Linked DNA regions of Cricetulus griseus. The protein of the gene in region 1 purifies or fractionates together with the protein of each later gene. This does not show direct contact. Links are inferred from orthologs where the notes say so. Each region holds a gene or a part of one and is shown in the gene's direction. Other genes may lie near its edges.

Region 1 (4,109 bases):
TTTGGGAGGTCTGGGTTCTATCTCTACAACAGGAAAGAAAAAAAAAATGATAATAGGAAAGAATGTTCCCCCAGGCACTTGTCTAGGGGCCCTGCGTTCTACTCCCTTCTCCCTTCAAACAAAAACAGCAGGCTGTCTCTGAAAACCTTTTCCCACCCTGTAACACATACCGTTAGGGAATATCGGCCGGGACTTTTAAATCTTGCTCGATCTTACGTGGGGCTGGGGGGGGGTGTCTCCTTTTCCCAAAGAAAAACAGGCGTGACATCATTCCAGAAGGTGTCGGGGTAAAAGCGTTGCACTGTCACTTCCGTACCGAAAAATGGCGCTCTCGTCATCTGCAAGAGTTGACACAATCCGACACCCACCTGGCACAGAGACGCATGCGCAGCAGCCAACCACAACAAAACACCCACAAGGTTCAGTTTCCCGCGCTGGAACCTTCCCAAGCATCCGCGTCAGGCATCGCGTGCCCAGACAGCGCGAGGGCCCAGGGGGACCTGTCGGTTGGGGTCCTACTTTTACATAACGCCCCCACAATGCTCTTCGCCACCCTCGACGTGGTCCCTCCCGCTCCAAGCCCCTCTTGTGGAGCCGGGAGGCCTGAGGACGCCAGGGAGCCGCGGGATGCCGGGCAGCCGCGAGACGCGCTAACACCACGGCGCCCCTCACCGCTACTCCGAGCAGGGCTCGAAGAGCAAGCAGCTCACGTGGGGTCCGCAGCAGCAGCAGCAGCAGCAACAGCAGCAGCAGCAGCAAGCAGCAGCAACACATGGAGAAGTGCAAAGGGATGAGCGGCAGAATGGCAGGCGCCACCTCAGGTTAGCGCGCGGGGCGGTGCAGCAGGTCCCCCGCCCCCGCCGCCCGGCTCGGCAGCCCAAGCCCTGCGACCTCAGCCCCGCACTCCGAGCCGCACCTCCGGGCCGCATGCCTGGTCCTCGGCGACGGTGTCAGTCCCCGGGGCGGCAGGGACGACCGGAGCGGGACGGAGCGGGCGCGCAGCGGGGACCTCAGCGGCCGCCGGCGCCGGCTCGCAGCCTGCCGAGCCCAAAGCGCGTAGGACTATATTTCCCAGGCTTCCCGGTCGGGAAGGCGGCTGTAACCTGGCTTCCGCTTCCGGTGGAGGCTCGGCTCGCCCCGCCCCCAGGCGGCTTCCGCTAGGGCCTCGCGACCCCGGAGTCATGCGCGCGGACTCTTGGGATTGGTGGTTCGCCGTCCCCGCATCGCGTCACTTTCTGCCTCTCTACGGGACTCCATTTCCCGGCGTCCCTAGGGGCAGGGGCGGTCCTCGGCGCCTGCGCGTTGCCCTCTCTCCCTCCCCACCCTCCCCAGTTCCCCTTCCCCCCTCCCCACTTCGCCTGCCGCGGTCCGCTCGGCTTCCTGCGCTGTAGCGGTCGCTGCGGTTCCTTCGAAGCTCGGCTCCCCTTCCCCGCCCCAGTCCCAGTCCCCGTCCGGCCGGTGAGTCTGCGCTCGTCCCCGCGCCGCGGCGCCGGGCTCCGCGCTCCGAGATGTGGGGGCGAGGAAGGAAGGGACCGGGTCGGCGGCCGAAGGAGGCCGGGTGGCCTGAGGAGAGGAGCGGCTGTGGGGACGCTCGTGGGTCCCGCGGGGGTGCGGGGCTCCCGCCGGCGCCGCGAGGCCCCGAGAGGCGGGCTCGGGGGGGAGGATGGACTCGGGAAGCCTCGGGACGGGCGCCAGGCGAGTGCCTCGGTGGGGCCGCGCGGGCCGCGCGCGGCCGGGGGCCGGGGGGCCGGGGGGCCGGGGCCTGGCCTCGCGCCGGGCAACACCCACAGATCGGGACCTGTCACCCCCTGGGAAGGAGTGGAGCTGGTTCTCACCACGCTGTCGGGGGGCTGAGGTAAAGAAGAGAGGCGTGGAGAGCGGTGCTTCACGGGCCGGGGCCACTCAACGCCAGTGGCCTCGGATTCCTCCGCCGTTGAGGAGACCGTGTGTGTGGGAGGAGGGAAGAGACCAAGAAACAGCCTGGTCTCCACTTAACGCCCTTCTTCCTCAGCCGACGTAAAGATGAGTAGCTCTGAGGAGGTTTCCTGGATTTCCTGGTTCTGTGGGCTCCGTGGTAATGAGTTCTTCTGTGAGGTGAGTTTAGCTGGCTTTCTGGGCCCTCTCCACGTGCCCTCGGTGTTTTCGTTGTATGTTGTCTGAGATGAGATTTCCCCCGAAGCTGACTGTGTAGCCCAGACTGTCCTTGAACTCCTGGCAATCCTAGTGCCTCAGTCTCCTGAGCGCTGGGGTTCACTCTGTGCATGGCTAACAGAGGTATCGCTGGTGACCGTCAGGAAAGTTAAAATGTTTCATGTAACATGAAAACCACAGTGTGGTAACGTAGGAAATGATCAATGCCTGTGAGAGTCTGATGTCCCAGAGCAGAGAGCAAACCCGGGTCCTTTAGAGGAGGGAGACAAGTTGAATAATGCGCTGTACCTTGTTGGCCCGGAAAGAAGAGAGCTGCGGTTTCTGTGGGAGACGGAACACCTCTGCAGAAGTGAGAATAGGAAACAAGGGGAGCCGATGCGGTCGTTTGTCTCCTGGGCCAGGTGAAAGACGGGGCTTCCCACACTAGTTTCAACCTCTTGACTCCCCTGTCCCGGTAGGTGGATGAGGACTACATCCAGGACAAGTTTAATCTGACTGGACTCAATGAGCAAGTGCCTCACTACCGGCAAGCTCTAGACATGATCTTGGACCTGGAGCCTGGTAACGTGCCTGCCCCCAGGGCCGTCGCTGCGTGTGGGGTCCATGATATGTGCACTTGTGTGTGCTTTGGTTTCTTCTTATTCTGGTCTCTGCTCGCTTGCTTCTTGAATTTTTCTCTTTTCTTTTTCGGTTTTTCCAGAAGGGTTTCTCTGGCCTTGAACTCACAGAGATTCACCTGCCTCTACCTCCCGAGTGCTGGTGTTAAATGCATGTGCCACCACTGCCCAACCGCTTCTTGAATTTCTAAATTTCCTTTTGATTCTCTAGCTCTTCTGTCTATTCCCGAGTCTCTTGCTCGCTTGTTTGTTTGTTTATGTGTTTTCTCCCCCACCTCTCCTCTCCATTCATAACCCAAACTGGACTTTACCACTTGCTCTTCCTGCCTTGGCCTCCACGTGCTGGGTTTTGTATGGCACATACACCACTGCCTGGCTTCTTCATTATTTTGATTCCCTACCTGACCCTTGCCTTCAGGGACTGGTAACATTTGTTTCCATGCTCTCCAAATGTAACTCCACTGTCTCTCACAATGCCAGTCTTCTGGTGTGTTGTGTGCTGCTGCTTTCCTCCTGCTGGTCTAGAGTGCCACCCTCTGCAATTATGTTTATGTGTTGGGAAGGGGAAGAAGCTGGCAGAGACTAGAGAGGTGTGGAGAGAGGGCAGTGCTGATGGCCTGGGTGATGGATAGGGTGTGTCAGAAACAGGTGCTGGATAAACTGTAGGAGGCCACCTTGGGGATAAGGTGGGGTACAAGTGGCCATCCCACCTTTCAGATGAAGAGCTGGAAGACAACCCCAACCAGAGTGACCTGATTGAACAGGCAGCGGAGATGCTTTATGGGTTGATCCACGCCCGATACATCCTCACCAACCGAGGCATCGCCCAAATGGTGAGGCTCTGCTCCTGCTTCTGAGGCAGTGAGACAAACAGGTGCATGAGGCAGAAGGCATGTTTCGTACCTGTCAAGAAGTCTAGCAGAGGAGACGAGGAGAAGCCCAGAGCTGGGCTGAGAATCCAATCCTCACTGAGGGTCCTACTGAAGGTATTGTTTTCAGGGAGGGAGATGAGGCCATGGATAGGGAACAGAGAGAGCAAATGGCCCTTGTGTTCTGCAGCCTGCCAACTTGAGGAAAGCAGTTGAGAAGGAAGCTTGAGGACCTGTCTTGACAAAGAAGGGCTTCTAGTTAGAGGTGGGAGGCCTGGGAGGTGGGGAAGTGAGGTGCTCTGCACACGTACTCACCAGTCCCTTCCATTTTGCACACCTCAGTTGGAAAAGTACCAGCAGGGAGACTTTGGCTACTGTCCTCGTGTGTACTGTGAGAACCAGCCAATGCTTCCCATCGGTGAGTGTTGGAGAGGGGAGAGGAGGGCACTACTTGCCAGTCAGGTTGATGTGG
Region 2 (3,500 bases), on another chromosome or scaffold:
AGCAATTTCAAAAGGAATTATTGTAAATTTTATTTTATGTATAATTGATAAGCGTCTATATATTTAAACAGATTTTTCTAACTTGGTAAGAACATCCATAAACTTCCAAAAGAAGATGGATATGGTGGTTCATGCTGGAAAAACCAGTACTTAGAGTTTAGAGGCAGGGTAATTGAGAGGTTAAGGTCAGCCTGGGCTTCAGAGCAAAACTTTGCTTCAAAAAGAACAAAAACTGCTGGATATGGTGGCACATGCCTGTAATCCCAACACTTGCAAGGTTTGAGGGCAGTCTGGGCTACCTAGTGAGACCTTGTGATGAGAAATCAAACCAAAACAATTTTTAAAAGTAACTGAAAAGGAATGGGAATAAAGAGTAGGTGGCCTATATGGCAGCATAGAATGCTTTCTGAAGAGTTAAGTGGACCCATTCTAAAACAGAACTTTTTGACTTTGTAAAACTTGTGAATGTAGTGCTGGAAAGGTAATGTCTCAGCCACTGAACCATCTCTCCAGCCCTTCACATTTACTTAAAAAGTTTAAGGCAGGTGTTGGTGGTGCACATCTTTAATCCTAGCACTCAGGGATCAGAGGCAGGTGGATCTCTGAGTTAGAGGTTAGCCTGGTCTGCAGAGCAAGTTCTAGCACAGCCAGGCCCATGCAAAGAAACCCTGTCTTGAAAAACAAACAAAAAATTTAGGTTGCTGGAGTGGTGGTTAAGAATGTGTACTGTTCCTTTTTTGTTTGTTTGTTTTTTCGAGACAGGGTTTCTCTGTGTAGCTTTGGAGCCTATCCTGGCACTTGCTCTGGAGACCAGGCTGGCCTCAAACTCACAGAGATCCGCCTGCCTCTGCCTCCCGAGTGCTGGGATTAAAGGCATGCGCCACCAATCGAGTGCTGGGATTAAAGGCATGCGCCACCAATGCCTGGTGATTTTTGTTTTTTAACAGGGTCTGTCTTTGTAGCCTGGTCTGGTCTGTAGATGAGGCTAGCCTTGAACTCATTCAGAGATCTGCCTGGTCTGCCTCCTTTGCTGAGATTAAAGGTGTATGCCACACACACACATAGGCCTACCCTGCTCAGCCAGGGCCCATCGCGTTTACCAGTTTTTATTGGGGTGCTTTTCCAGAAATTTTGGTACAGTCTCATAATAGGTTGTTTTAGGTTGTAACACTGTGAATGAAGTATATTTATATGTATTGACAGAAAACACTTTTCTTGCAGATGCATCCTTGACAAGAACGCTGCACCATCAAGCCTCGGGTTGCCCTCACTCTCATGGAACTGCTGCTCCTCAGACTCAGCCTCCCCCTCAAGTGGATTATGTTATTCCTCATCCTGTACATGCTTTCCATTCTCAGATATCTTCACATGCAGCATCTCACCCTGTGGCGCCCCCGCCCCCAACTCATTTAGGCAGTACAGCTGCACCCATCCCACAGCATCTTCCTCCAGCTCACCAGCCAATTTCACACCATATCCCAGCCCCGGCACCTCCTGCCCAGAGACTGCACCCTCATGAAGTGATGCAGAGGATGGAAGTTCAGAGGAGAAGGATGATGCAGCACCCAACGTAGGTTTAAGGAAATTGTGCTTGCTTTCCTTCATGTTCCATTGGTCTTTTATATATGAAATTGGTCTTTTATATATGAAATCTTTCATGTTTTGAAACAAGGTTTCACTGTACAGACCAGATTGTCCTTTAATTCATAAACCACCTTCCTCAGCCACACAGTGCTAAGGTAACAGATGTACACCTTTACACCTAGTAGGGGTTGTGGACACAGGAAAACAAAGCAGTGCAATTGTAAATCCTTAGTGTAGTAGGACATTACCTTTTTGTTGTTTTGATGATGGGCATTGAATCCATGGCACCTTGCACCTGTTAGAGAAGTGTTCTATTACTGGCTGAGCTTTATCTCCAGCTGGAGAGTTATCAACCATTAAATAACTTTATTGTGTCCTACTCTGCATTGTAGCTGTTGACAGTGTGTCTTCAAGCAAATAACTGTTTCTCCGTAATGATTGATACCAACATTGATCCTGAAGAACAAGATTGAAAGATGTCCAATATCTAATTTGATTTATCATGTTATTTACAAGAGGAAAGAATAGCAATAGAAGTTTCTAAAACTGGTCAGGCAATGGGGACAGATGCCTTTAATCCCAGCACTTGGGAGCAGAGGCAAGTGGATCTCTATGAGTTCAAGTCCAGCCTGATCTACAGAGCAAGTTCCAGGACAGCTATGGCTACCCAGGGAAACCCTGTTTCAAAAAACCAACAAACAAAAAGTCTTAAAAATTGGCATAGAGGGTAGGGTGCTTCCCTAGCATGCATTGCATAAGGACCAGGCATGGTGTCATTCTTGGGAGGTGAAAAGTAGAAGAGGATCGGAATTCTATTCAAGACCATCTTGGGCCACATGAGACACTCTCTCTCTCTCTCTCTCTCTCTCTCTCTCTCTCTCTCTCTCTCTCTCTCTCTCACACACACACACACACACACACACACACACTTTTTTTTTTTTTTTTTTTTTTTTTTTTTTTGTTATTTTGGAGACAGGGTTTCTCAGTGGCTTTTGAGGCTGTCCTGGAACTAGTCCTTGTAGACCAGGGATTTTAATCACGCCTTTAGGTGTGAGCCACCAACACCCAGTGGAGATCCAGTCTTAACAAAGTCTTATTAACCTTCTAATAGTGTAGTTTCCCCATGTTTATAATAAGACTAAGTAAACTTTTTCTTTTGACAATTCAGGATTTGATATTTTAATCATCTGATTGTCAGTTTCTGTAAATAAAGTTTTATTAGAAGACAGCTTAATTTTTTCATTTACATTGTCTCACATCTTTTGGCATGATAAAGACTTAGCTGGTTAATTTTTTCAGAAATCATATGACTACAGGCTTGATGTTTAATAGTTAGCCTATATAGAAAATGTCTATGGAACCAGCAAGATGTCTCAGTGGGTAAAGATGCTTGCTGCCAAGCCTGACAACTTGAGTTCAATCCCCAAGGCTACATGTGGACATGTGGAATGAGAAAACAGATTCCTGCAAACAGTTCTCGACTTGTCTCCAAGGGGGAAACAAAACAAAAGCCCTCATATTCTTATCTACTGAAATGATTTTTTTTTTTTTTTTTGGATTTTTCAAGACAAGGTTTTCCTGTAGGTTTGGAGACTGTCTGTTTGAAGACCAGGCTGGCCTTGAACTCATAAAGATCTGCCTGCCTCTGCCACCACCGCCCTGCTTTGCATTTTTTTAATGACTGGCAAAATAAAAATTTCCATTATCCTGCTTTGTAAGTTTATGTGAAGTAACTAACTAGTTTGAACATGTCTTTTTCTTTTTAACTTTTTAAAGTTTTGTTTTCATTCTGTTCTCCAAATTAAAATATATCCTACAGAAGTTTCAAGCCACAATTACCTTTTTTGTGGAATTTCTTTTTGTTTTTGAGGCAGGATCTTATTGTGTAGCTTTGGCTGGCCGTCAGCTTACTACAT
Region 3 (3,500 bases), on another chromosome or scaffold:
ATGGGTCCTCTCTGCTTCTCAGAAAGAGCGGACCTTCTCCTTCTGTGGCACAATCGAGTACATGGCCCCCGAAATCATCCGAAGCAAGGCTGGACACGGCAAGGTGGGTTATCTGGGTGAAGAAGGCAGGGTAAGGCTGAGCACACAAGGCCTTCACTCTGGCCTTACCCCATAGGCTGTGGACTGGTGGAGCCTGGGCATCCTGCTCTTCGAGCTGCTGACAGGGGCCTCGCCCTTCACATTGGAGGGAGAGAGGAACACTCAGGCCGAGGTGTCTCGGTAAGTTGTTCAGGTCATGGAGGGCAGCTGAGGGCTATACGGCCTGCCTGGGCTGGGCTGGGAGGGGGCTTGCTGCCCCTGACACCCCCACCCATCCTCCCAGACGGATCTTGAAGTGCTCCCCTCCCTTCCCCCTCCGGATTGGGCCTGTGGCACAGGACCTGCTACAGCGGCTGCTGTGCAAAGACCCTAAGAAGAGGTTGGGCGCGGGTCCCCAGGGTGCGCAGGAAGTCAAGAATCACCCCTTTTTCCAGGTGAGGCTTTTAACCTATGACCTCCTCTCATTTGCTACACCTCTGTAGGCTGGGCTGCAGCATGGTTAGCGCAGATGTATCCATGCTTTTCTGATGTTACACACAATAAGGGGTCAAAGAGCAGAATGTGGAGACCCCGCTGTCCTCAGACTACTCTCACCAGGCAGCTCTCTGAGAATACAGGAACTGGCATGGAGCCTTCACATTAGACCTCACTGCATGGCTTTTCCTAACTGACGCCTTCTTCTATTTACACATAGGCATTTGATTTGGCACCTGTCTGATATGGCAACAAGAACATCCATTTATGGCCAGGCACTCTGCCTCCATATTGGAATCCCAGCCTAGGAGGGCCTCCTGGGTTGCTCTCAGACCAGAGTCTTCCTCTCCCAGACCCTAGGCAGAGGTGTGAGCAAGAGTAGAGCTCAAGATGCAGATGAGCAGGGTCCACTTCCTTCAGGGAGTTTCTGGGACAGCCCAAGCTTTGACTGGGTGCTGGGAGAGCACTCACTTGTCACTCTGCAGAAGCCCCAAGGTATTTGAGGCATGGCACTTCCTTCTGCCCTTTCTTTGGAAAGCTCTTTAGAGGCTACTGCACAGACACACACACACACACACACACACACACACACACACACACACACGTATATATGTGCACGTACAGTGGGTAGGTGTATAATGGGGAGAAGCTCCTCACGTGAAAGAAGTCTGGACTGGGTTGTCTTTGGAAATCCAAGCTTTTTTTTTTTTTTTCTGATTTGTTTCTCCATTCTTAGCATGTGACATCCATCCCCAGGGTTGCTTTGTGGCTCCAAAGGGCTCTTGCTACCTAGACTGCTTCCCAGGCAAGAAGCAGGAGGAAGAAGGGCAGGGAGGGCATTTGTCAGCTGCTTACACCTTCCCTTCTAGGTGCTTCTCTGGGCTCCCCCTGACAGCTGCTGGCTATTGGACACAATCATCTATAAGGAAGTGCTTGTATGATGGTGTTATGTTAGGATTATGGTGCTAAAGAAAAAAAGACAGGAAAAATGGATGCTGGGTAGAGATTAGTTAACTATGTTACATTAGTCTAAACATATATAAAAGGGCAGGCGCTCTCTCCCAGAAGTGAAAAATCTGAAGGAAAGTGTTTCTTCATTCAGGAATATTTGTTTATTTATCTTCATTTGTCTGTGTACTATGTGTGTGCAGTGTCTGTGGAAAGCAGAAGGCATCAGATTGGAATTACGAAGCATGTGGATGCTGGGAATGGAAGCGTCCACATGGGTCCTCTGGAAGAGCAGCAGCCAGGGCTCTTATCCACTGAGCCGTCTCTCCAGGCCCAGCTCCTTTGTGTTTTGATGTCATGGCCATTACAAGTTCAGGAACTGACAGTTGTGCCAAGTGGAGGCCTGTAAGGAGAAAGGGGAGGAGGTAGGCTGGGAGGCTGCCTACTTCAGGGTCAGAGCCTTTGCTCTTGGGGAGCTGCCCAGTGAGGGTAGGTGCAGGAAAGTGGGGTCTCTACGTCCCGGCCTCTTACTGATTATTGTGTGCTATGTCAGAAATAGATGGGCTTCTTTGCACTTCTCCATAATGTCAGAATTAATATGAGTAACAGTAAACTCATAAGCTGCATCAGTTTGATTGTCTGATAATCCAGTTTCATTTGATAACTGGCTGTTGGCAGTCAAGTTTTTTTTTTTCTTTCTTTTTTGTTTTTTCGAGACAGGGTTTCTCTGTGTAGTCCTGGCTATCCTAGAACTCGATTTGTAGACCAGGTTGGCTTCGAACTCAGAGATCTGTCTGCCTCTGCCTTTTGAGTGCTGGCATTAAAACCTCATATCCATAGGTTCTTTTATTCTAATCTTTTTGAAAAACTTAATTTTGTGTAGTGGTGGAAGGAAGGAAGAGCCAGAAAAGGCATTTGCCACCAAGGCTGACAACCTGAACTCACTTCATGGGACACACATAGTGGAAGGAGAGAACCCGACAAGTTGTCCTCTGGCCTCCACATGCATGTCCTGGCTTTTGGTTTATTGAGACAAGGTCTCTCTGTGTAGCCCAGGCTGTCCTGGAACTGGCTCTGTAGACCAGCCTGGCCTCGAACTCACAGAGATCCGCCTGCCTCTGCCTCCCAAGTGCTGGGATTAAAGGCGTGTGCTACCATGCCTGACGCAAGTGCCTTTATTTATGAAGCCATCTCACCTCCCCTTTATTCCCATCTTAATTATGAATATCAACTCTTTAATTACTGGTCCACATGCCACACGATATACAAAAATGTTAAGAAAGGGTTTTTATTTATTTATTTATTTATTATGTGTACAACATTCTGCTTCCGTGTATATCTGCACATCAGAAGAGGGCACCAGATCTCATAACTGATGGTTGTGGCCACCATGTGGTTGCTGGGAATTGAACTCAGGACCTCTGGAAGAGCAGTCAGTGCTCTTAACCTCTGAGCCATCTCTCCAGCCCCAAGAAAGGGTTAAAGAGGCGAACTGCTGAGGTTGTCCTGAAGGCATAGAGCAGATGCAGGGCCAGGTAACAGGCTGTTTATGGGCTCAGTCTGAAGTAGGCTGAATGTCACTGAAGGAGAGGCTGTGTGGGAGCCTGGGTCAGAGGCAGGAGTCCTCTGCTGACAATTCTCCTGGATGAGGTTGTTGCCTGTGACCCAGTGACTAGGTAGCAGGCCAGCCACATTTTGGTCTTGGGATTCTTCTTTTCATAGTCCCAGGTGAGGGACTTCCTTTTTATGTGATATGTTCATGTGACTGGTTTTTCTGATATCACACCAGGGTCTCGAACTATCTGTGTAGCTGAGGATGACCTTGTATTTCTGATCCTCCTGCCTCCATCTCCCTGGTCCTGGGATTACAGGTGTGCCCAGTTTATGCATTCTGAGGATTGGACCTAGGGCTTTGAGCACATCTAGGGAAGCACTCTATCGTGAGCTATGCCCTGGCACACGGATTGGTGTATTTCCAG
Region 4 (2,335 bases), on another chromosome or scaffold:
TTAATAACCACACCAGCCCTGGTCAGACACCAGCACTTTGCCCCCCAGAAACCAGGGCTTTGGACCCTGCAGCAGCTGCAGCCTCAGCTGAGTTTGATAATGCTGAATCTGAGGCTGATTTCAGTATCCATTTCAACAGGTTCAACCCTGATGGGGAAGAGGAAGACGTTGTAGTGCATGAGTGACATTCCCTTGTCAGAGACATTATGTGTGGAGTGACTTGGGGTATTGGAAGCAGCATGATGTGGATGTACAAAACAAGAGAGCTTGGTCGGCAACAATCTTGTTATCTTTGTCTCCTTGATTTATTTATTTATTTTCACCTCTAATGTGTTATACCAGTCTTTTCAAACCACTCAAACAACCACTTGAAGCACACTTAGCAAAAGGCAGATTGTGTCAGCTTTGCCTTTTGTGGTTTCATGGTTTTCAAATTGAATCATATCACTGTATCCTTTCCCTTCATAGATCTTTGTGTTTGTTTGTTTTGAGCCATGCTGTGACCTACACACTAAAATAGCCAACATTTCTGAGCCCCTGTGTCTCCTGTGCCAAGCTACTTCCTGAGATGAACTTCTCATCAGCTGTACAGATTGTTAAACCATTCAATTTGCTTCTTAATAATAGGGTTTATATTATTACTCACTGTCAGTGGACTCAGTGACACCATGCTCTGTAGAGTAAAGCAAACCCTCCACAGCAATCATCCTGTTTCCTAAGATTTTTCCAACATAGTGTGATTTCTATAACTGTTGCTAAGTAACTTGTCTTGGGGTTTATGGAAATTAACTATTATGTTTGCACTAAGATTTACTGGGAGTGATAGATGGACATATCTATATATCATTAAGGACTGACTTGTCTTTCTGTACATAGGAAGTTAACAATACTGTATTTGTTTTAACCCCACAGTGTTTTACTCCACTTTTCAAAAAGGTCCATTTGGCACTTTTATCTTTTTTCCTTCCTTTCCTCTCTCCCTCCTTCCCTTTCTTTCTTTTATTTTCTTTTGTAAGGAAATCAGATTTTTGTCTCTCCTTTTAGATGAAATGACTAGAAAGGTCAAACTTGACAGATAGTTTAGGTGGAGTATATTTTTAAAATTAAGAACATGTATATTTATCCTGTGTTACCAAGTTTTTATGTGGCAGTTGGGGAGGGGGAGCCCTCTGAAATGATCATGAGGTTAATTTTTCTTCATTAGGAGATGTGGAGAATCAGTAATTGTGAGAGTAGTTGATAGTTCCACTCCCAGTCATTGAATTGCTTCTGTGTTTCCCTGTAGGTTCATAGTAACCCCGTGTCAGTCTTACACATTTGTAAGGACCCTGCAAGACAGCAACGACGACTAAGGCTTTGGGCTAATAGCTACTGTAAAGAAAGCCTGTGAAAAATACCTTCTTTAAACTTTGTTTTTGTTACTGTTTTGTTTTCTTTCCAGTAAGCTCACATTTCAATAAGTTTTTAAATAAAGGAATTATTTTTTTGTGTTTCCAGAACACTATAATTTGGGTGAATCTTAATTCTTTTAAATATTAATAGGCCTGGATTTGCTTCAATGGCCCCATTAGTCTATAAAGAGTAAATTGCAACTTTTATGATATGGTCTTTGATATATTAGCAATAACTTGTGCTACATTTGTTTTAAGGGAAAGTTAAATGTATACTTCAGGATTTTTCAGGATCTAAGAAATCCTGTGCTGTTGGATCAGTTAATAAAACTGCAAAATCTTTTTGTAAACATGTAAAAGCAAGTCTGCTGTATAATGGATCTCCTTGTATTTTTTTTTTCTTTAAATTAAAAAGGAAGAAAAGGAACCGTTCTCCTTGTAAAGCTAAATCCACAATTCTGTGAAGTAAGGCTTCAAAAGAGTTCCAAAAAATATAAGGGGAGTGAGATGCTTTGAAGAAACAAACAAAACATATAAACAGGGTCGGTCCATTTGAAGAAAAATTATGCAAAATAATAACCATTGTTCCCTCCTTTAGTTAATGTTTGGTACTGAGTCTGTCCATATGGAAGTACATGAGAAGGAATCTAAGAAAGTATTAAAATGTATGCTTACATTATTGTTTGTTTACAGTTTTGTTCAATTATAAACATTTGGCCTTTTACTATGTTATTTTTATTTTGTATGAATACATTCTCCTTATTTATTTTTGTTACATTTATTACGTTATTTTGTTATGCATTTACAACTCCATTTTTAAATAAAGTGTTTCTGGAACTTTATGCAGTGATACAGAATTCATATCTTCTACCATCTGATAGACAGTACATTCATCAATTTACCAAACAACTGTTTACAGAGAATTTCCTAATGCTCTAGCAAAG
Region 5 (4,142 bases), about 140 Mb from region 1:
TTCTACAGAGGGTGGCGCTACCCGCCTTTAATCCCAGCACTCAGGAGGCAGAGGCAGGTGAATCTCTTATGAGTTCAAACCAGCGTGGTCTACAGACTGAGTTCCAGGGCAGCCAAGGCTACACAGAGAAACCTTGTCTCAAAGACCCCCCTGCCTCTCCCCAAATCTTGCTTCGGTAACAGCACTGACAAATAGTAAGATGTATCTAAATACCTCCTGTTCTACAAGCGCAAGGTTAAGGCACTTTTCGTCAAGAAATTAAGCTGTAACAAAACAAAGTAACAATTCTGAAGCTGTGTACTAAGACAAAGTTTGTTTGTTTTTTTTTTTTTTTTTCTCTCTAGATAGTATCTCAGAGGATTGAACTGGAATAAAAGACCACTGGGCGGCCAAAGAGGCTATAAAGATGGAGGCAGGAAGATCAACTGTTCCAAGGTCAGCCTCAGCCACTTGGACTTTTTAGTGTGAACATAAAAACAGGTCTTATCCTAAAGGAAATAAAGAAATGGTTTATCCTGGAGCCCTTTTGATCCATGGCCCGGAGAACACAAATTTAGGTTACTCCAAATTCCATGAAAGAAGAGAGCTGTGTTTTTTTGTTGTTGTTTGTTTTTTGGTCTTTCGAGAGAGGGTTTCTCTGTGGCTTTGGAGCCTGTCCTGGAACTCGCTCTGTAGACCAGGCTGGCTTCGAAATCACAGAGATCCGCCAGACCCTGCCTCCCCGCGTGCGCCACCACCGCCCGGCCGAGAGCTGTGTTTTTTACATTGACAAACGCATAGTGTAATAAACAAGACCTTGTCCCCACCACCACCACTATGTAAGGGAACCATTTGGGATTAGACTCCCTGGTGTAATGAAGTCGCCGGCGTAATTTGTCTTCACCCTACATCTATTTTTGGAGCCAGGGATTTTCCAGATTACTACAAACCCGGCGAGGTGAGGTCAGGGCCAGCACACGTTTCCACGGCTACACCCCGACACCCACGCGCGCTCGGCGCTTCCCGGAACCCGGCGCGCTTCACCTCCCTTATTTCTGAAACTGTCGAGCCGCCCAGTTCAGAGTCATTTTACACACCGCTGACGCCGCCGGCCGGGCGCAGGGCGCAGGGCGCGCAGGGGTCTACGGAGCCGACCCACCAGGCAACACTGCAGATTATCGGGTGCCTAAAGAGATTACCAAACCCGTAGCCTGGAGCCGCCTGCGGACCTCCACGCCCATCTCCTCCCGGCCGCAGCCTGGAGGAACTAGTTGGCGCGCGCCGTGGCCGGGTGGGGCCGGGTGGGGCGGGGCGGGGCGTGGTTACGTCAGGGCGGAAGCGCACACTGCGTGCAGCGGCCTGGAAGCCGGCAGTCACGGGAGTATCCGTCGCGCCGAGGACGCTGGTTAGTCTCGCTTTGGGTTCCGGCTGCGTCGGCCGTGCGTGCAGCTCGCTGGGAACTATGGCGTCCGGGCCTCACCCGACCTCGACCGCTGCCGCCGCCTCCGCTTCGTCCGCCGCCCCGAGCGCGGGCGGCTCCAGCTCGGGCACGACGACCACGACGACGACTACGACCGGAGGGATCTTGATCGGCGACCGCCTGTACTCGGAGGTGTCGCTAACCATCGACCACTCTCTGATTCCGGAGGAGAGGCTCTCGCCTACCCCGTCCATGCAGGACGGCCTCGACCTGCCCAGCGAGACGGACCTGCGCATCTTGGGCTGCGAGCTCATCCAGGCCGCCGGCATTCTCCTCCGGTTGCCTCAGGTGAGAGGCCCGGGTGGTGACCGCCATCTCCTCCGAGGCCGGCTCTCTCGGGAGCCTGAGCCGGGCGGCGGCGGGAGCTCGGGCGGCGCGCGGGGAAGGGAGGGCGGGAGAGGCAGGGCCGGCAAGGGAAGAGAGCGGCCGCACAAAATGGCGGCGGCGCCTGGTGCGGGCCCGCCTGACCCCGGCGCTTCCGTTCTCCTCTCTTGTCTGCAGGTGGCGATGGCAACGGGGCAGGTGTTGTTCCATCGGTTTTTCTACTCCAAGTCTTTCGTCAAACACAGTTTCGAGGTAAGTCGGCGGAGGCGGGCGAGAAAGGGATTGCTTCATCCGGAAGCGGGAAGGAAGGGGTAGTAACCAGCTTTTCCAGAAAGGGAGTGGTTAGCCTAGGCCTTTGTACCTAGTTCCTACCCATAAGGAAACGGGGCCCTTAGAACGTGTTTCAAGAACTAGAAAATGGATCCTGAGCCCACGTGCTCTGTTATCAAGAGCTGCATTTCCAGGCACAACTCTTGGCTTGATTCGGGTCCAAAATTAGAGCAGTTGAGTAATAAAAACATATATAGCTGGTAAGCCCCGTGCTCTAAAAATGTCGCCCTTGGTTTCATCTCGCGCCAAAAGACCCGTTGTACCCTATAGAGATAGTTTCTCTTTAAAAATAAGTTCGTTAAAGCCTAGCAGTGGTGACCCACGCCTTTAATCCCAGCACTTGGGAGGCTGAGGCAGGCGAATATCTGGGAGTTTGAGGCCAGCCTGGTCTACAAAGCTACATAGAGAAACCCTGTATCGAAAAACCAAATATACACATATATAATAAGTTTGTTAGACTTTGGGCCGGGTTGTTTCCAGTTTGACTTTTGTTATAAGTTTTGTCCCCTCCTGGGTTCTTTCAGATTGTTGCCATGGCCTGTATTAATCTTGCATCAAAAATTGAAGAAGCACCAAGAAGAATAAGAGATGTGATTAATGTATTCCACCACCTTCGCCAGTTAAGAGGAAAAAGGTAAGATTGGCCTATTGAACATATTATTTCTTGCTACTTACTGCTGTTGTACACCAATCATCAAGTCAAAACATCTTTTTTTTTCTCGAGTCAGTATGGATGCAAAAGAAAACTGACATTAGGTGTTGAAATTCACATAGAAACACTGAAACTTAAACTTTCAGAAAACCCTCAATTAACCAGCTATCTAACTGTAGAGGCAGTTGCATTTGTGGACAATCCTAGCAGTGCTGTGAAGCCAGTCCCTTGGCTTAGACAAGAAAGGGAGTACGGTTGGCTCAAGTGGGAGTGTATTCTGTAAGTTATTTTTCCCCTCCCTTCTCTGGAAAACCGAAGGCTGGATGTGAAAGTGCTGTAGTTCAAGTTAATATTGTGGCCAAGTTCTGTGTAGGTTGTTATTCTGCTTGGAGTCCCAGTTTCTTCATCATTTGAGGTTGGCTTTTGTTAGAGTACTTCTCAACATTGAACTACGATATATCGAATAATACCGGATCTGAAAGGACTGGAGGATGATAAAGTTTGAAGTTTGAAGTCAAAGGGATTGAACAGGTATTCTGTTTTGGTCAGATACAGTCTCAGTGAGTGGGTTAGAAAAATAACCAATTGATTGAGTTGCCTTCAGGTAGGGCTGTTTACTTGATCTTGTAAGAAAATCCAGTCTGAAACGGTATCTTTGAAGTGTAGTGATAATCTGGTAACTATGTGGGCCTATCTATCTATGCCTTTATGGCAGTACCAAAGTTTGTTGCAGGACCCTGTTCTACAGGTGATTCTAGGACACGATGATGGATATTCATGGTGTAGATTAGTTTCTGAGGAATTGTGATGAGTTTCAAAGGAGTTAGCTATGAAAAGACAAATTGTTTTGGGAGCTGGATGTTGCTTAGTCCAAGTGAGTATCATACATAGTCTTTATTGGTGGAATCTATAAGTTGGTGGCAGTGAAGGTAGTAACTAGATAGACAGATACTAAAGTGAGTTTAGTCGTCAAAAATTGCTGCGCTGATTTTTTAATAGCTTTTTTTCTCCATAACTTTTCAGCCTCATCTTTTCTCAGTGTGTTCCCAGATATAATTTCTTTTGTTTGAAAGTGTTTCGTGAAGAAAGTAGAGGAAGGGGGAGATTTCCAACTGGTGTTTAGTATGTTCTGAGCTTGTATTTGTATTTAGATATGTGGCTGAGTTTTTTCATGGTGTTTTTTTAATGAAACACTCAAAATAAAGAATTCTTTAAAGGACTCTGAAAAGGACATTTTCTAGTATATGAGTCATTGGGCCAACTATAATCACATCTTGGCATTTTCCTATGGGACTTAACTTTCCTCCTTCCTTGGTGTCAGAATAGGATCATCTTAGCTATAAACCTTCAGAATTCAAAATAATTCAATCTGACTGA
Region 6 (3,280 bases), about 170 Mb from region 1:
GTACCTCCCACTTCCTCTCCTAGGTGCCCCAGCTGTGCAGTGGTATTTGGGGGTATAAACTCCATCAAGTCCCACATACAGGCGTCACACTGCGAAGTTTTCCACAAGTGCCCCATCTGCCCCATGGCCTTCAAGTCTGCACCCAGCGCCCATGCCCATCTCTACTCCCAGCATCCCAGCTTCCTCACCCAGCAAGCCAAGTGAGACCTGGGGAGGGAGCATGAAGAGGAAGGGGTGGGCTGGGGGGGTGGGGTGCATGGTAGGGCTTTGCTGTCCTATCATGATGTTTACACTGACCCTTCTGCCTCCACAGGCTGATCTATAAGTGTGCCATGTGTGACACAGTTTTCACTCACAAACCGCTCCTTTCTTCACACTTCGACCAGCACTTGTTGCCCCAGCGTGTCAGCGTCTTTAAGTGTCCATCTTGTCCTCTGCTTTTTGCCCAAAAAAGGACCATGCTGGAACATCTCAAGGTACAGGAGGAGCAAAGGACTAGGGAATAGGACCTTAACTAGCTGTGTTGACCTGAACTAGAGTCACATAACCCTCTGTCAGGGGGAGCAGAGGGAAGTGAGGACTTTGGCAAAGCCAGGCTTTCCTCCACATAGCCACTCCTCTTGTCTTCCTCTTATAGAGCACTCATCAGTCCGGACGCTTGGGGGAGGAGGCAGTTGGGAAAGGGGCTGGAGGTGCCCTTCTGACCCCCAAGACTGAGCCTGAGGAGCTGGCTGTGTCTCGGGCAGAGGCAGCCCCTGCTACTGAGGAATCTTCCTCATCCTCCGAAGAGGAGCTGCCCAGCTCCCCTGAGCCTCCCCGCCCAACCAAACGACCCCGACGGGACCTGGGAAGCAAAGGCATCAAAGGTGGGGGTGGGGGGCCTGGGGGCTGGACCTGTGGCCTTTGTCATTCCTGGTTTCCTGAGCGCGATGATTATGTGGCTCACATGAAGAAAGAACATGGCAAGGTGAGCTAGGCTTCCTCTGGGAAAGGTAGGCTGGAGGGTTGACCTGTGTGACTGAAATTTCCCACTCTCTGCTCTCTAGTCAGTGAAAAAGTTCCCCTGTCGCCTGTGTGAGCGTTCCTTCTGCTCTGCCCCCAGCCTGAGACGCCATGTGAGGGTCAACCATGAGGGAATCAAGAGAGTTTACCCATGCAGGTAACCCTGACTCATTCCTCTTCCTACCTGCGAGATGACCCTTACTCCCAGAGTACCTGTCACCTGCCTCCTGCTTGAGGGATCCAAAGGTTGAGGCCTGCCTCTGCTCTGGCAGCCTTCCTTCTCTCAGGAGCTATCGGCCTTAGTCTTTTCCTCTGGTGCTACCCTGCCCACTTTACCTCTGCTAGGTATTGCACAGAGGGAAAGCGCACCTTCAGTAGTCGTCTGATCCTGGAGAAGCATGTCCAAGTCCGGCATGGCTTGCCCCTTGGGACCCAGTCCCCTTCTGGCAGAGGAGGCACTCTGGTGCGAGGCTCTGGTGGCAGAGCCCAGGTAAGAAGAGGCTCTCCTTACATTATGTTGTGGGAGCGAGAAACCAGTGAGCCTCTGGTTGCTCAGGAAGCCAGGCTGAAGGTGAGGCCCAGTTTCTTTCACTTTTCTCCAGGGGCCAGGACGGAAACGCCGCCAGTCTTCTGACTCATGCAGTGAGGAGCCTGACAGCACAACACCACCAGCCAAGTCCCTGAGGGGTGGCCCTGGGTCAGGAGGCCACGGTCCTCTTCGATATAGGAGCAGTGGCTCAGTGGAACAGAGCATTGTGGTGGGCCTGAGGGTGGATGGTGGCACGCAGCAGTGCCTCGACTGTGGCTTGTGCTTTGCATCCCCTGGCTCCTTGAGCCGCCACCGGTTCATTAGCCACAAGAAGAGAAGGGCGGGGGGTAAAGCCAGTGCTCTGGGGATGGCGGATGGGGAAGAAGAAGCTCCTCCGTTACGCTCTGACCCAGAGGGTGGAGATTCACCTTTGCCTGTTTCTGGAGGCCCTCTGACTTGCAAGGTCTGTGGCAAGAGCTGTGATAGCCCTCTGAATCTCAAGACCCATTTCCGCACGCATGGCATGGCATTCATCAGGGCCCGACAGGGAGGCAGTGGGGACAACTAGGTCCCAGGCCTAGGATTAGCCAGTTCTCTTCCCAGGAACTTGGGTCTTTCACTGCTGCTGTCAACTCCCTGGGCTGGGAAGTTTAACACTTATTTTGATTCTTTTTGCTCCCAAGGGAAAGGCTTTTGAGGATTCTAGTGACTTGCACCCCACTCCCTCTTGGGTTTGGTCCCTGGGTCCTACTTAAGTGGGTTCTCCTTCCTTTCTGAATCCAACACTAATGTTACACAGGGGAGACCTAAGGATGTACAGGGTCTAGCTTCTACCCCTCTGCTAGATTGCTTCCTCTGGGCTGGGTTCTGGCCTAGTATTCCCTCCTCTAACACTCATTGGCACTAACACCCCGCCCCAATCCCTGCAGTGCCTTCCATTTGTCTTTTCCCCCAGAAATCTAGGGGTGGGGGGTTGGTGGGGATGAGTCCTGTCAAATGGGGTCCAGGAAGAGGAGAGGACAGGCTCTCAGGAATCCTTTATTCTTGTAGTAATAATACTAACAGTGAGAGAAACAAGAGGGAGAAAACCAGACCATTAAAACTGCTTGTGGTTTAATCCCCATTCAGGCTTTTCTTTTTATGTGAGTTGGACAATGTGTACTGCTAGGGAGGGGGTGAGTCAGAACTGGGGAAGCCCTTCTCAGGGAAGAGGCAGTACTGACCAAGACAGATGGAAAAGTAATCTTCATCTTGTGTGTTTGGTGCCTTTTGTATGCTGGATTTAGCCTCTTCTTCCATCCACCCCCAGAAGCAACTCAGACAAGACACAGATGGCTAACTAAGGACTTTATTTCAAACAAAAATTAAAAATAAAAAAATTGAGAGCTATTTCCCTGGGTGTCAGGAAAGGGTCAGGGTAAGAAATTCCCCATGGCTAGGCCAATACCCTCAAATACATTAGAGGGATTGTGGCAATTCCCTTCCTTAGCCCCTTGATGGGGAACCTCAGCAAGTGCAGGACCCTATGGCAGAACCCACCTGCCAGGGGTTATGTGGGCTAGGGGTCAGCCCCTGGGTGGGGCTAGAGTTGGGCAGCAGCATGGTCAGACATAGAATTACATCCTAAGTACCAAGAGCCCACTCTTCCTCTCATCTTGCTGGGACCCAGAGGAAACAAGACAGTTTGTAGAACCTCTGAGACTCCATCCTCACGTTCATCACCTCTCTCCTCTGGAGGGCAGTGAGTCC
Region 7 (3,500 bases), on another chromosome or scaffold:
ATGTTGTATACATAATAAATAAATAAAATCTTTAAAAAGAAAAAGAAACAGTATTTGGTATTAGTTTTATATTTCACTTATGTGTCAATTAAAAAATAAACAGAGCTGGAGTTTATTGCTCAAGTTGGCAAAGTGCTTGTGGAGGACTTGAGATTGTTCCCCAGAACAATATGGGAGAAACACCTCGGGTGCAATGGCATGCTTGTAATTCCAGCGCTGGGGAGGAGGAAGATAGCTAAGCTCAGGCCAGGAGAGACTCTGTCTCAAAAAATGTGGACAGTGCCTGAAGAATGACACCTGAGATAGTCTTCTGGCTTCTACTCATGCACACACTTATGAGTGCCCACACACGTGTACCTGCGCACACACACTTATACAAAACTAAATTTAGAATAGAAAAATATCCCAAGCCCAACAAACAGTATTTATAACGGCTTTTTAAAAGCCTTTTAAGTCAGCAGAGAATAGCTAGGTAATAGATGATACTTCTAAGATGTACTCCTATTAAAAAAAAAATAGTTGCTGTTGGATTTTAAGATTGATACAACCTTAAGATTGCTTGGTATGGTTAGAGAAAAATTTAGCTTGGTAACAGCTTAAATTGTATATATTTGCTTCTGTGGTTTGATGACACTCTTTTTCTTATCTTTTTAGGAAACCAGCATAAGCAGTCTAGGAACCGAGAGGATAAGCCATATCATCAGTGACCCCCGGCAGAAAGAGTAAGTACCTAAGTGCCTACTGCTGTCCTAGCCTGGTCCTTGGAGAAGGAGGTAGAGAGGGTTTCTATAAAGCAATCTTTCTATTAGACTTGAGAACCGAAAGAGGGCATTTTAGAGATTGGTGCTTGCTAACAGTTAAGATGGGTAAAATCAGGCTGGCAAGATGGCTCATGGCTAAAAGTGCTTGCCACCTGTTGTTGCATGTTTGATGACCAGAGTTTAATCCCAGAGCCAGAAGGAAAGAACCAACTCCATAGAGTTGTCCTCTGACCCTCACAAGTATGCTATGACATACACAATAATAAAAAAGTAAAATTTTAAGATGGCTAAAGTCTTAAATCATGACAGTGATTTTTCTTTTTCTTTCTAGAGTAGTTTTTTGTTGTTGTTGTTGCCTGTTATGTTTCTAGGTGTTATATTAATATCCACCACTAAGAGACTATATTTTAAATGCATTTTTCTCTCTTAATTTTTTTAAAATGGTTGTTCCAAATGCTTCTGTTCTCCTTCAGGCCTCTTTAAGGAGAAATCTTTTTGTCCCTGTTACCATGGTGAATGCAGTAGGAATCATGAATGGAGCTGCCTTTCTCATAACAGCTTCATTTCCTAAACAGTTGGCTTTGCTGTGTGCTTTGTCTTCTTATGGGTCTTCCATGGCTAAAATTTGAATATCTGCTGAATAAATACATATATATTGGGACTAGGGAGATGGTTCAGTGGATCAAGCATAAGGATTAGAGTTTGGATCCCCAGCACCCACATAAAGAAGCAGGTGGTATGGTAGGCCTGCCTGTAATATCAGCCCTTGACAAGTAGATCCCAGGGCAAGCTGACCAGCAGGGAGCTCTAGGTTCAGTGAGAGACCTTGCCTCAATAAATGAAGTGGAGAGTGAGCTTGGAAGACATCACAATGACCTCTGACCTCCACACACGTGTGTACCTGTGACCTTACATTCCTCCATTCACACACATACATGCATACATATCAACTATGTATGTTAAAAAAAAAAAAGCAGCCCACATTTGTATATGCTAAAGAAATTGTATAGTTTATTCCTTAATCATTATGGTCAGTACCCAAGAGCAGTCCTATACATAAACCTAGTCTGATTTTGGAGTTTGAGTCCTTTTCTCGATGCACAGCTGAGATAAGGCTGTGTCTTAGTTGGCTCTTCCTTGTCTAGTTTTCTGCTTTCCACTTTTGCCTTCTCCACTGCAGTTACTTCAGGGAGACTGTTGTTCACACACAGCTGGCGTCCTTCTCCTTCAGCTGCATCGCTCCCAGTTCCTTCTTTGTCTTCACTCAGTATCCCACCTGTGATCGTCTTCCCTCTTACTTTTCCTATCACTTCTTTTATTGTTTTCTTTCCTGTTATTCTCTCTTCAGTTTCTGCTTACCATCAGCTGGGAAAAGAGAACGAAAGCAGGTAAGATAATTTTGGGGGGTCATCTTTTATCATTCAGTTTCCTTTTCTTTAGAAAGAATAAAACATTGGCTTCTGATTTTCCTCACATTTTTGCTTGTGCACATGAGGTGACTAAGATCACTCTCCATCACTCTTGACTTTTTTGAGAGCTGAGTTCCAAGACTGCTCTGTGCTCATCTGAAAGAACTGTAGCCAATTCCCTCCTTAGGTTCAGCTGCAGTTGTCAGCTTCTTATTTGTAACACATTTCAAGGGAAGCCTGGTTTTATTTTAGCTTTTCCCCCCTAAGGTTTATTTTTACTTATGTGTCCATGTACATAGGTGCATGTGAGCTCAGATGCCTGCAGAGGCCATAGGGTATCATATGTGCTGGAGCTGGGGATACAGACATTTGGGAGCTGCCTGACATGCTGATGAGAACTGAACTTGAGTCGTCTGGAAGAGCAGTATTTGCTCTTAACCATTGAACCCATTGTCTTATTGTTTCAATTGATTAAAAATGTAAAGTGAGTCTCATGTCTCTGGGTTAGTTTGCCATTCGAATCCTGTGCTGTGACTGTCTGAGCATAGGAGGCAGAAGGCTGAGCTCCTTTTGGGGAAATGATCAAGACTTTGGAGCTTTTTTCTCTTAATCTTTTCCTTGACTCCCCTTTAGGGATGCCTTAATACATTTTGGCTTTGAGGAGGATCCATGATTTAAAAGTAACTCACAGTGGTTGTTGTTAGGTTTATAGATGTTTGAAATTCTTTCAGTTTAGAGGTAAGGGTTGCCTAACCTTAGTTCTGAGCTGTGAAGTTCATAGAGACTGATGGGCAAACCTTCTCAGGCTTCCTTTTGCTCCATGGTTGACTGGTTGTTTATTTTGGGGACTACTTAGCATTTTATTATGTTACACAGTTTATATTTGCAAAGTTCACTGGGAAGTTGCTGTTTCACAATAATTAGAACAGTGGAAGATAAAACCAGTGTGTGTTTATGAGATGATTTTAGATTACGTATTTGAAGTTATATATTATAATGTATGTTAGAAAAATGTAATTACTATGTCAGACTTACCTGGTGGAAATAGGACAAAACTGAGTGTAAGTAATTGGTGTAAAGAAAATTCTGGATGAACAGTTCATATAGTTGGCAGATAAAGAAAGGGTCATGAAGGTCGCATGCGAGAGATTTGGGAACTGTTAAGCTAGAGTGTGGATTGTATTTGCTTCAGAGCATGCAAAGGCAGGATTTATGGCCATCTTTTGCGCTACTTCTGCTATGTACAAGTGAGGAACAACGCATCATGGGTTTTAACTATTTTCCTGAAGTTGCTGAGCTATGTGTATTAGCTAAGTTTCTGTTCTTTTAA

What was found.
Region 2: the proteins of Csnk2b (region 1) and Rnf111 purify together in Homo sapiens (co-immunoprecipitation; 3 studies listed by BioGRID and IntAct, with this or other methods). This does not show direct contact. The link is inferred for Cricetulus griseus from reciprocal best matches to the Homo sapiens genes CSNK2B and RNF111.
Region 3: the proteins of Csnk2b (region 1) and Rps6ka4 purify together in Homo sapiens (affinity purification with mass spectrometry; 3 studies listed by BioGRID and IntAct, with this or other methods). This does not show direct contact. The link is inferred for Cricetulus griseus from reciprocal best matches to the Homo sapiens genes CSNK2B and RPS6KA4.
Region 4: the proteins of Csnk2b (region 1) and Cep170 purify together in Homo sapiens (affinity purification with mass spectrometry; 3 studies listed by BioGRID and IntAct, with this or other methods). This does not show direct contact. The link is inferred for Cricetulus griseus from reciprocal best matches to the Homo sapiens genes CSNK2B and CEP170.
Region 5: the proteins of Csnk2b (region 1) and Ccnl1 purify together in Homo sapiens (co-immunoprecipitation; 3 studies listed by BioGRID and IntAct, with this or other methods). This does not show direct contact. The link is inferred for Cricetulus griseus from reciprocal best matches to the Homo sapiens genes CSNK2B and CCNL1.
Region 6: the proteins of Csnk2b (region 1) and Znf687 purify together in Homo sapiens (co-immunoprecipitation; 3 studies listed by BioGRID and IntAct, with this or other methods). This does not show direct contact. The link is inferred for Cricetulus griseus from reciprocal best matches to the Homo sapiens genes CSNK2B and ZNF687.
Region 7: the proteins of Csnk2b (region 1) and Gpatch2l purify together in Homo sapiens (co-immunoprecipitation; 3 studies listed by BioGRID and IntAct, with this or other methods). This does not show direct contact. The link is inferred for Cricetulus griseus from reciprocal best matches to the Homo sapiens genes CSNK2B and GPATCH2L.

The regions. Positions count from the first base shown.
Region 1 is NW_023276806.1:231,642,975-231,647,083, reverse strand, and holds the start of Csnk2b (casein kinase II subunit beta), read left to right. Parts: upstream 1-1,309; 5' UTR 1,310-1,458; intron 1,459-2,011; 5' UTR 2,012-2,022; coding exon 2,023-2,094; intron 2,095-2,609; coding exon 2,610-2,712; intron 2,713-3,485; coding exon 3,486-3,601; intron 3,602-3,979; coding exon 3,980-4,055; intron 4,056-4,109. UniProt on the Homo sapiens protein: Regulatory subunit of casein kinase II/CK2.
Region 2 is NC_048597.1:181,987,843-181,991,342, reverse strand, and holds part of Rnf111 (E3 ubiquitin-protein ligase Arkadia), read left to right. Parts: intron 1-1,221; coding exon 1,222-1,570; intron 1,571-3,500. UniProt on the Homo sapiens protein: E3 ubiquitin-protein ligase. Required for mesoderm patterning during embryonic development. Acts as an enhancer of the transcriptional responses of the SMAD2/SMAD3 effectors, which are activated downstream of BMP.
Region 3 is NC_048596.1:52,599,328-52,602,827, forward strand, and holds part of Rps6ka4 (ribosomal protein S6 kinase alpha-4), read left to right. Parts: intron 1-22; coding exon 23-103; intron 104-175; coding exon 176-279; intron 280-382; coding exon 383-533; intron 534-3,500. UniProt on the Homo sapiens protein: Serine/threonine-protein kinase that is required for the mitogen or stress-induced phosphorylation of the transcription factors CREB1 and ATF1 and for the regulation of the transcription factor RELA, and that contributes to gene activation by histone phosphorylation and functions in the regulation of inflammatory genes.
Region 4 is NC_048598.1:17,059,910-17,062,244, forward strand, and holds the end of Cep170 (centrosomal protein of 170 kDa), read left to right. Parts: coding exon 1-185; 3' UTR 186-1,835; downstream 1,836-2,335.
Region 5 is NW_023276806.1:86,983,830-86,987,971, forward strand, and holds the start of Ccnl1 (cyclin-L1), read left to right. Parts: upstream 1-1,342; 5' UTR 1,343-1,441; coding exon 1,442-1,747; intron 1,748-1,960; coding exon 1,961-2,035; intron 2,036-2,637; coding exon 2,638-2,747; intron 2,748-4,142. UniProt on the Homo sapiens protein: Involved in pre-mRNA splicing. Functions in association with cyclin-dependent kinases (CDKs). Inhibited by the CDK-specific inhibitor CDKN1A/p21. May play a role in the regulation of RNA polymerase II (pol II).
Region 6 is NW_023276806.1:61,493,693-61,496,972, forward strand, and holds the end of Znf687 (zinc finger protein 687), read left to right. Parts: intron 1-23; coding exon 24-200; intron 201-313; coding exon 314-476; intron 477-637; coding exon 638-967; intron 968-1,046; coding exon 1,047-1,159; intron 1,160-1,347; coding exon 1,348-1,492; intron 1,493-1,604; coding exon 1,605-2,099; 3' UTR 2,100-2,780; downstream 2,781-3,280. UniProt on the Homo sapiens protein: May be involved in transcriptional regulation.
Region 7 is NC_048598.1:117,541,193-117,544,692, reverse strand, and holds part of Gpatch2l (G patch domain-containing protein 2-like), read left to right. Parts: intron 1-654; coding exon 655-722; intron 723-2,109; coding exon 2,110-2,149; intron 2,150-3,500.